2 linked regions of the Arabidopsis thaliana genome follow. The protein of the gene in region 1 purifies or fractionates together with the protein of each later gene. This does not show direct contact. Each region holds a gene or a part of one and is shown in the gene's direction. Other genes may lie near its edges.

Region 1 (3,600 bases):
AGGTGTTTTTCTCTTTTCAAAGACTATCTTTAGTCTTCTTACTAATCAAGCTATAAGGAGTTGGCCAACTTTCAAAATCCAAGTTAAAAAGGTTAGCTTTTGGGTTTAGGCTAATCCAAAAGTGATTAATCGATCAAAGTGTAAAAAAAAGTCGTAAGCTTTAGAACGAATCTTGACAACCCTACCATCTCAAAATATCAAACAAAAATGGATCAAAATCTTGATACCAAGACAAACGGAAAACAAATCTTGAGACTTATTGCTTCCTTCCTCTTCCTTTCTTGGCAGGCTGTGTCTCCATCTGTTCTTTCCCGGTGACTTCTGAGAGATCGACTGCATTATACAACCAACATAAATAAACAAAGTAAGCTATAATACACCCAATGTTACACAGCACAAAAGGAGCTTTCCTTTTAAAGGTTGTGAGATGATGCACATTCAAGTTCCATTCTTTCAAGATTGGTAGGAGAAAAGCGATGTTTTGAGAAAATAATAGCCGGTGACGATGTGATACATTGTCTCATAATAGAAATAACCTCATAGCTCAATAAAACAAAGGAGGTTTTTTTCTCAAACACTAAGAGATAGATGATGCATGTTCTTTCTTTAAGTTAGATATGCAGAAAATGAAATTTTTACCATCAGGTCCTCTGGCCATGAGGGTGAAAAATATGTTATTCAGTTTCTCCATCTTCTTCGCTTCTTGTGCTTGGTCTGTCTTGAACTTGAGACACTAAGTTAAAGGAAAAGTAGAAATAAATCTATCATATATATACTTCACATAATAAGAATGGACAAGAATGAAAACAAGAAGACTACAACAAGGACATCTAGTTAACCACAGAAGTTGATACAATGATTTACATCAAAACTCAGCCCAGCTTAAAGAGTTCTAAAGTATCACACTTCAACCTCCACCAAGAACTATTGCTCTGAAGAGAGGACTAGATCTGCTTATCTAACACATCGCCATGCAAGACATGTTAAATTCATCAAGACGTACGAAAACATAACCTATTAGCAATCACATTGACCAAGCCAAAACAAAAGTAACCACATAACTACGACAAGGTACGATGAAAACTCAACTAAAAACCAATATCTCTAGTAATCAATCATCATGGAACCCTAAATTACATTCTCCAAACCAAGCATCATACCATCAAACCTCGACGAATCAGATATCAACTTCAATAGCAAATATTGAATTCCATACTATTATATAAGATAAACTCAAAAGAAGCAGTGATCATAGAGAAACTAGACACAGTCAAATTACCTCTTTGTTATCAGTAACCTTAAGAACCAACTTGCCGTCACAGTGTCTATACTTCATCACATACCGAGTCTGCACCACAACAATTGAAACATTAGATTGCGACCAACACGACTTGATTCAAATCAATTATCAAGGTTACCAAAATTCCCAGTACAAAAATCGAGGAACTATGTTCAATTACCATAAATCAATCCAAATATCTCAAAATCAACCGTAAATAGTGAAATCGAAAGAGGAGAGCAAAAAAATAGTTAACCTACAGATTCCGGATCAGCTCGAAAAAGCTGAACAGATCGATCAACGAATTCGTCCCACGATGCGATATAAACCATCTTGATTCAACTAGATTAGCGATTCGATTTGAGGCGATTGGATTCTATGAAATCTCCGGGAGACTCGACGGAGAAACAGAGAAGCAAAAAGACGGCTTTTTATTTGTGTTTTCAGAAGAAAGAAAAAAAATTTGAGTGATGATCAAACCGGAATAAACCGACTAAAACCGAACCGGTTCCTTAGTGTTAAGATTTCTAAAAAGAAAAACCCTAACCGTTCTTCTTCGAACTTCTGCAACTTTGTTTCTCCCAAATCTGTGAATCTCAAGTGTTCGTCTTCACCATCATGCTCTCTCGTTTATTCCTTAGACATTCGAATCTCCGTTTCGTAACCCTAGTTTCATCGAAATCAAATTCTCAGATCTTCTCTTCGTTTATTCGTCCGCTTTCGACTAACAGTAGCGGCGGCGGAGGAAATGGTGACGGGAATGGTCGTAATCGGAATGATGTTCCGTGGAGTTTCACTGGAGTAAACGATGATAAGTCTGGACCTTTCTCTTCCGATGATTCTTTTGGTTCTTCTGGAGTTGCAGGATCTGGTTTACCTGGTGGAGAGGGGAAATGGCCGGAGGAGCCTAAGAGATGGAATATAAAGGAGGAAGAGGAAAAAGTTGTGTTTGATACTGGTGGTGAAGTAGGTCAAGGGATTGAGACTAGTCGCGAGAGGAGGGGTAATGAATGGGAGGAGACTAAGAGATGGGATATGAAGGAGGGAGAGGAGAAAGTTGTGTTTGGTGGCGGAGGAGATGAGGTGGATGGGTTTGGAATCAGGGGAGAGGTGAAATCTAATGAATGGGATGTGTCAAAGCCATGGAATTTGAAAGAGGAAGAGGAGGGAGTTGTGTTTGATACTGGTGGTGAAGTGCCGTTTAGCTTTGAGAATAGCTTGGAAATGGCGGAGGAAGAGCGTGTGAAGAAGGAGTTGATTGAGAAGGAAGAGAAGGAGCTTCTTGAGGTTATCAAGGGTGAGACTTTTTTAATTTGTTTTGCTGATTCTTAAGTTTTGATCTTATATGCAATGCACCAGTAGTTTCGATATGTGTCTAGTTTTGGAATGCAGTGACAAATGGGTAGCAAATTTGATCTCATGACTTTCCTTGTTAAGGTTAGATTTGGATTTGAGGGTTAAGTCAAGTAGCAAAGGTTGTGTAATCAATCTATTTATAGGCATGCTTGCTGAGTGGAGGATATGATAGTTTTTGGAGTAAGCTCGGATGTTGAAGAGGAATAAGCATTTGGGTAGAAAGACTTGTGTTTGAAGTGGATAGTTTTGTGCTTACTGACGCTAAGGAACAGTTTAGTGCTTATGTGTTTTTGCTATTAACAATGTTCAGCACAATAAATTGAAGAATTTGTTATTTTGATCACATTGGTAATGGATTCTGCTGCTAGTAAAACAAGCGCTAGAAGTAGAGTAATTGATTTGAAACTTACTATTGCAGGTCCTGATCGAGCATTTGGAGACCTTATTGCTAAGTCAGGTATAACAGATGAAATGCTAGATAGTTTAATAGCCTTGAAAGATTTCCAAGGGGTCGAAGGATTACCTCCTCTGACTGAGATTGAAAACCTGCGTCGTGAGAAAAGTTCAAAGAAGTCATCAAGAGCTGAGATAGAACTCCAGATGCAAGAGGACATTGCCAAAGCACGGGTGAGACAAGTTGACGAAACAGGTAGAGCCTATGGAACTGGAAGAAGAAAATGTAGCATTGCACGTGTTTGGATTCAACCTGGGGAAGGAAAATTTCAAGTTAATGAAAAAGAATTTGATGTCTATTTCCCTATGCTTGATCATCGCGCTGCTCTTCTACGCCCACTTGCTGAAACCAAAACCTTGGGTCGTTGGGATATTAAGTGCACTGTTAAAGGCGGTGGTACTACAGGTAAAACCTCTCCACAATCACTTCGTTTTCTTCGACGATTAGTCCCAAAGTTCTCTATTTACACTAGCAAGTATGATTTATGCTTAAGCTAGAGGATTTGGTCATA
Region 2 (3,704 bases), on another chromosome or scaffold:
GAAATGATCAAATTATAGATGTTGAAAGGAAAAAAAGGTATATTCTAAAAAAATGGAAGAAAAGGTATCTTTTTAGTTTTTATTATCATAAATGTACGACATCAAATTTACATGTCCACTTATTTATTTACTGGCAAACTTTCTGGCGACGCTGAGGTGGCAAAATAATCCTTACGTGGCAACATATAACTGGTTGTAAATACGTATCTTCAACAGTGTAACTACCAATTAGCACAAGATAACACTCGGTGGTTTGCCTCTATTAATAGGGTAACTTCCTCTGGTTATCAAAAACAAACAGTCTTGAAAAATCAAAGAAGCAACCTCTAAACAACACACAATTTCGAAAATGGCGCAGCGATCTAGGGTTATCACCATGTCTCCTCTCATTCTCGATCAAGAAGTTGATCTCGATCTCTGGGAAGTTGTTAATCCTTCTGATGGCGAGTTCTCCGACGATTCTTTCTCCGTCGATAGTCTTTCCGACGATGACGTCATATCTCTTGACGACGCTTCCTTTGTCGCACCCTCTGTCATTTCTCCGCCGCATGAGATAATTCCTATTGCTGACGGTGGTGATCTCGCCGTGGATCTGGATGGTGATGATGATGTTGGCGATGATGTCGTTCGCGATGAAGTTGATGAGAATGATCTTGGATGGTCTCAGCAGCGGATGATGTTTCTCGGTGGAGGTTCTGGTTATTCTGTTGGAATTACGTACGGAGATAGTGTTAATGACGACGGCGAAGAAGATCGCGAGTACGACGATTCGTATGATCTTGACGAAGAGTTGGTTCCGCGTAGCGTGAGTAAGAAGGTGGGGAGACAAAGGATGAGGAAACTGGGGAAAAGAGCAATCGCCAAGGTCTATGCCTCGAAGATATCTCCGTTTTTGAAGCCTGGTATCGTTCGTGGTAAGCATGGTCTCGGCATGAAATTCAAGTGCTGATTGTGTTGGGATTTCGAAGTTTCACAAGGCGATGGGATGGTTTCTTCAAGAACTCTCGGTAGAATTTCTCAGTTTCTGGGTTTAATTGATGTGTAAATTTGTTAGTTCAATTTCAATTCCTCTTTAGTAGTAAGTAATTCGGATGCTTCTGAAGATCTCATTGTACATGATGGAAATTAAATAACTCGCATTTTAGGATTCATTGTTCATTAACTGATCGCTTTCTTTGATGGCTCTTTAATTTGGTTGATCAGATTGTGATTGTGAATCTTGGGTTAGCAAATTGTAGTGTTGAAATGGAGAAGATGATGAATGGATCATAATAACTCTTGATAGATGAGCTCGTTTAATCTTGTGTGAACCTTAGAATTGAAAACGACAGCTAAACTGTAGCAATGATTTAACAGGAAGAAGGTTTGTGTTTGGTGGTGGTTAATTTGGTTATCTTTGTAGAAGCTTTTGCAATTTTTGTGAATGTTGGTGGTTGTTTGAAAAGTCATACTCGTAGGATGTACGCATCACTCTGAATTTCGACATCTGAGTGGTTGAGACTGGAGATAACTTTATTTTATTTTATTATATCTAACTTGTTGCATGCACTATGGACTTCGTATATCTCTCTACTAACAGTCAAACACCTATACGATAACAAGATGCTGGTGTTCTCAAATTGAACATTTTGAAGCAATTTCTTTTAGGAAGATCCTTAAAGACAGGAAGCTGATTGAATATTTTGGAATTTCTGGATAATCCGAGATTTTAGATAAGTGACTTCTGTATAGCAAATCACGAAAAGAAACGTATAGCAGATCTAATGGGCTTAATGTGAATAAAGAGATAAAATGTAAACTGGCCCAACATGGCCCATCTTATCAATAACGATCGTAACAGAAGAAAGAGAACACAGATAAGGGGAAAAAGCCAAAACCCACCAGCTTAAATAAAAACCTTTACTTATCTTCTTTCTTCTCACTTCTCAGACCTCAATTTCCAAGCAGAGATGACGGTGAAGATAAGGCTCGCGCGTCTTGGTTGTAAACACCGACCCTTCTATCGTGTAGTTGTCGCCGATGAAAAATCGCGCAGGGACGGTAAACAAATCGAGGTGTTAGGCTTTTATGATCCACTCCAAGGTTCGTTATTTCTCCTCTATATACATTTCTCAATTCTCAGTAAAATTGAACACTTCCTAATGTCTCTGCTATCATGAATCTACTTGTACGTCTTCAGGCAAAGAAGATGCGGATAGAGTGAGCCTCAAATTCGACAGAATCAAGTATGTTTTTTTTACTTGTTCTATCATCTTCATATTCCTGTTTGCTTGTATAATTGTGTCAAGTATTTTAGGACACCAGTTAGATGTGAAACTCATGATTGTTTGATAAGACTGAAACACTAAAGAGTCTCTTTCTCGACATTATCCATATGATTGATTATTCCTCATGAATGTGTTTTCTTGTTTGTCTTTTAATCATCTTAATTCATTCTCTTTAGTATTCTGCAAGGTCATAAACTTGTTCTTGCCACAATGATGCTGCCTAATTGCTTAGATTGTGACAAATTGAGATGCTTTCTGTTGATTCTGTGTCCAAAACTCTATTTGCATAAGGCTACAATCCTTAATTCATTTGCTTCTCTCAGTCATGTTTGGTTGTTTCTACACCTAATGCATTTCATCTGGTGCAAGTTTTCTGTGAGGCTTGGTTTTGCTTGTATGATTGATTTGATTAGACTGGTTTAAAAGTCTAAATCCACACAGTTCTTGGTGTCTAACTAAACTTCTTTTTTATTTTGTGCAACTGTTGAAAGAAATTGATTTTCACTCTATGGTACTCGAATAATGCAGGTACTGGTTATCTGTTGGAGCTCAACCAACAGACACAGTGGAAAGCATGCTTTTCAGGGCCGGTTTGATACCACCAAAGCCTATGGTAGTGGTCGGTTCGAAAAATGGGCAGAAGTCTACGAGCCAACATGTTTCACCCATTACAGGTGAAATCTTGAACTAAGAGTGTTGATGCGTTGAGCAAGAAAGAGCCTTTTGTGTCTGTGTGAAAGGAGTTTATGTAATGTTGTTTAAGACTTTTCTGTTTATGTGAAAGGAGTTAATGTAATGTTGTTTAAGACTTTTGCTTTCTATGTGAAAGCAGTTTAATGTTATGTTGGTTAAGACTTTTCTGCAACAGAGTTTGGTGAATTTTTATTCTTTAATATGAGCATGCCTTTTTACATTTAACAATTCTCACTTTAGACTAAATAGGCTTTGGTAAGAGGCCCATATTTTCAAAAATAAGATTCATTCTCAATATCTGGATTGTATGCTAAAAAAAGGAATTAGGCCCATATTTGCTCAAAAAAAAAAAAAAAAAAAGTTATCTGCCTGAATATGATCTTGGACATTAGAACCTCGTTCTTACCTTTTATGTATATCTTTACTTCTACATGGTAGTAGTTATATAATCTCGTTGATCTTGAAATTAGTTCTTATTCTCATATAGGTCTGAAACTCTTATATTGCTTCTCTTCAAAATTTTGTTCCGTCTTTTTGGTTTCAATATCTGCCAAAATGTATTTGTATCGTCTATATGTGTTAAAAACACATGCAAGAGACTAGTAACTAGACAATAATCTATTTCAAACTAAATTGGTCTTCTAATAAAAATGTTATAGTTATGGAAAAAAGGATGTGTCTTTGGGACATTACAGCTCTATTGGGCCAACAAAATCTCTCGCTTCGTATCCCATTAGATTCTCT

Evidence for each region. Proteins that work in one complex are often made in the same cells at the same time.
Region 2: the proteins of AT3G49080 (region 1) and SSR16 fractionate together in Arabidopsis thaliana (co-fractionation; one large-scale study listed by BioGRID). This does not show direct contact.

Annotation. Positions count from the first base shown.
Region 1 is NC_003074.8:18,194,955-18,198,554, reverse strand, and holds the start of AT3G49080 (Ribosomal protein S5 domain 2-like superfamily protein), read left to right. Parts: upstream 1-1,770; 5' UTR 1,771-1,897; coding exon 1,898-2,576; intron 2,577-3,053; coding exon 3,054-3,494; intron 3,495-3,600. Other genes in the region: AT3G49100 (Signal recognition particle, SRP9/SRP14 subunit), read right to left, coding at 257-333, 640-733, 1,280-1,348, 1,540-1,611. UniProt on the Arabidopsis thaliana protein: Mitochondrial ribosomal protein required for central cell maturation. May work together with PIA2 in controlling female gametophyte development, possibly by regulating the expression of some mitochondrial proteins.
Region 2 is NC_003075.7:16,534,338-16,538,041, reverse strand, and holds SSR16 (small subunit ribosomal protein 16), read left to right. Parts: upstream 1-1,817; 5' UTR 1,818-1,949; coding exon 1,950-2,082; intron 2,083-2,179; coding exon 2,180-2,225; intron 2,226-2,795; coding exon 2,796-2,958; 3' UTR 2,959-3,187; downstream 3,188-3,704. Other genes in the region: AT4G34630 (prostatic spermine-binding-like protein), read left to right, coding at 350-949.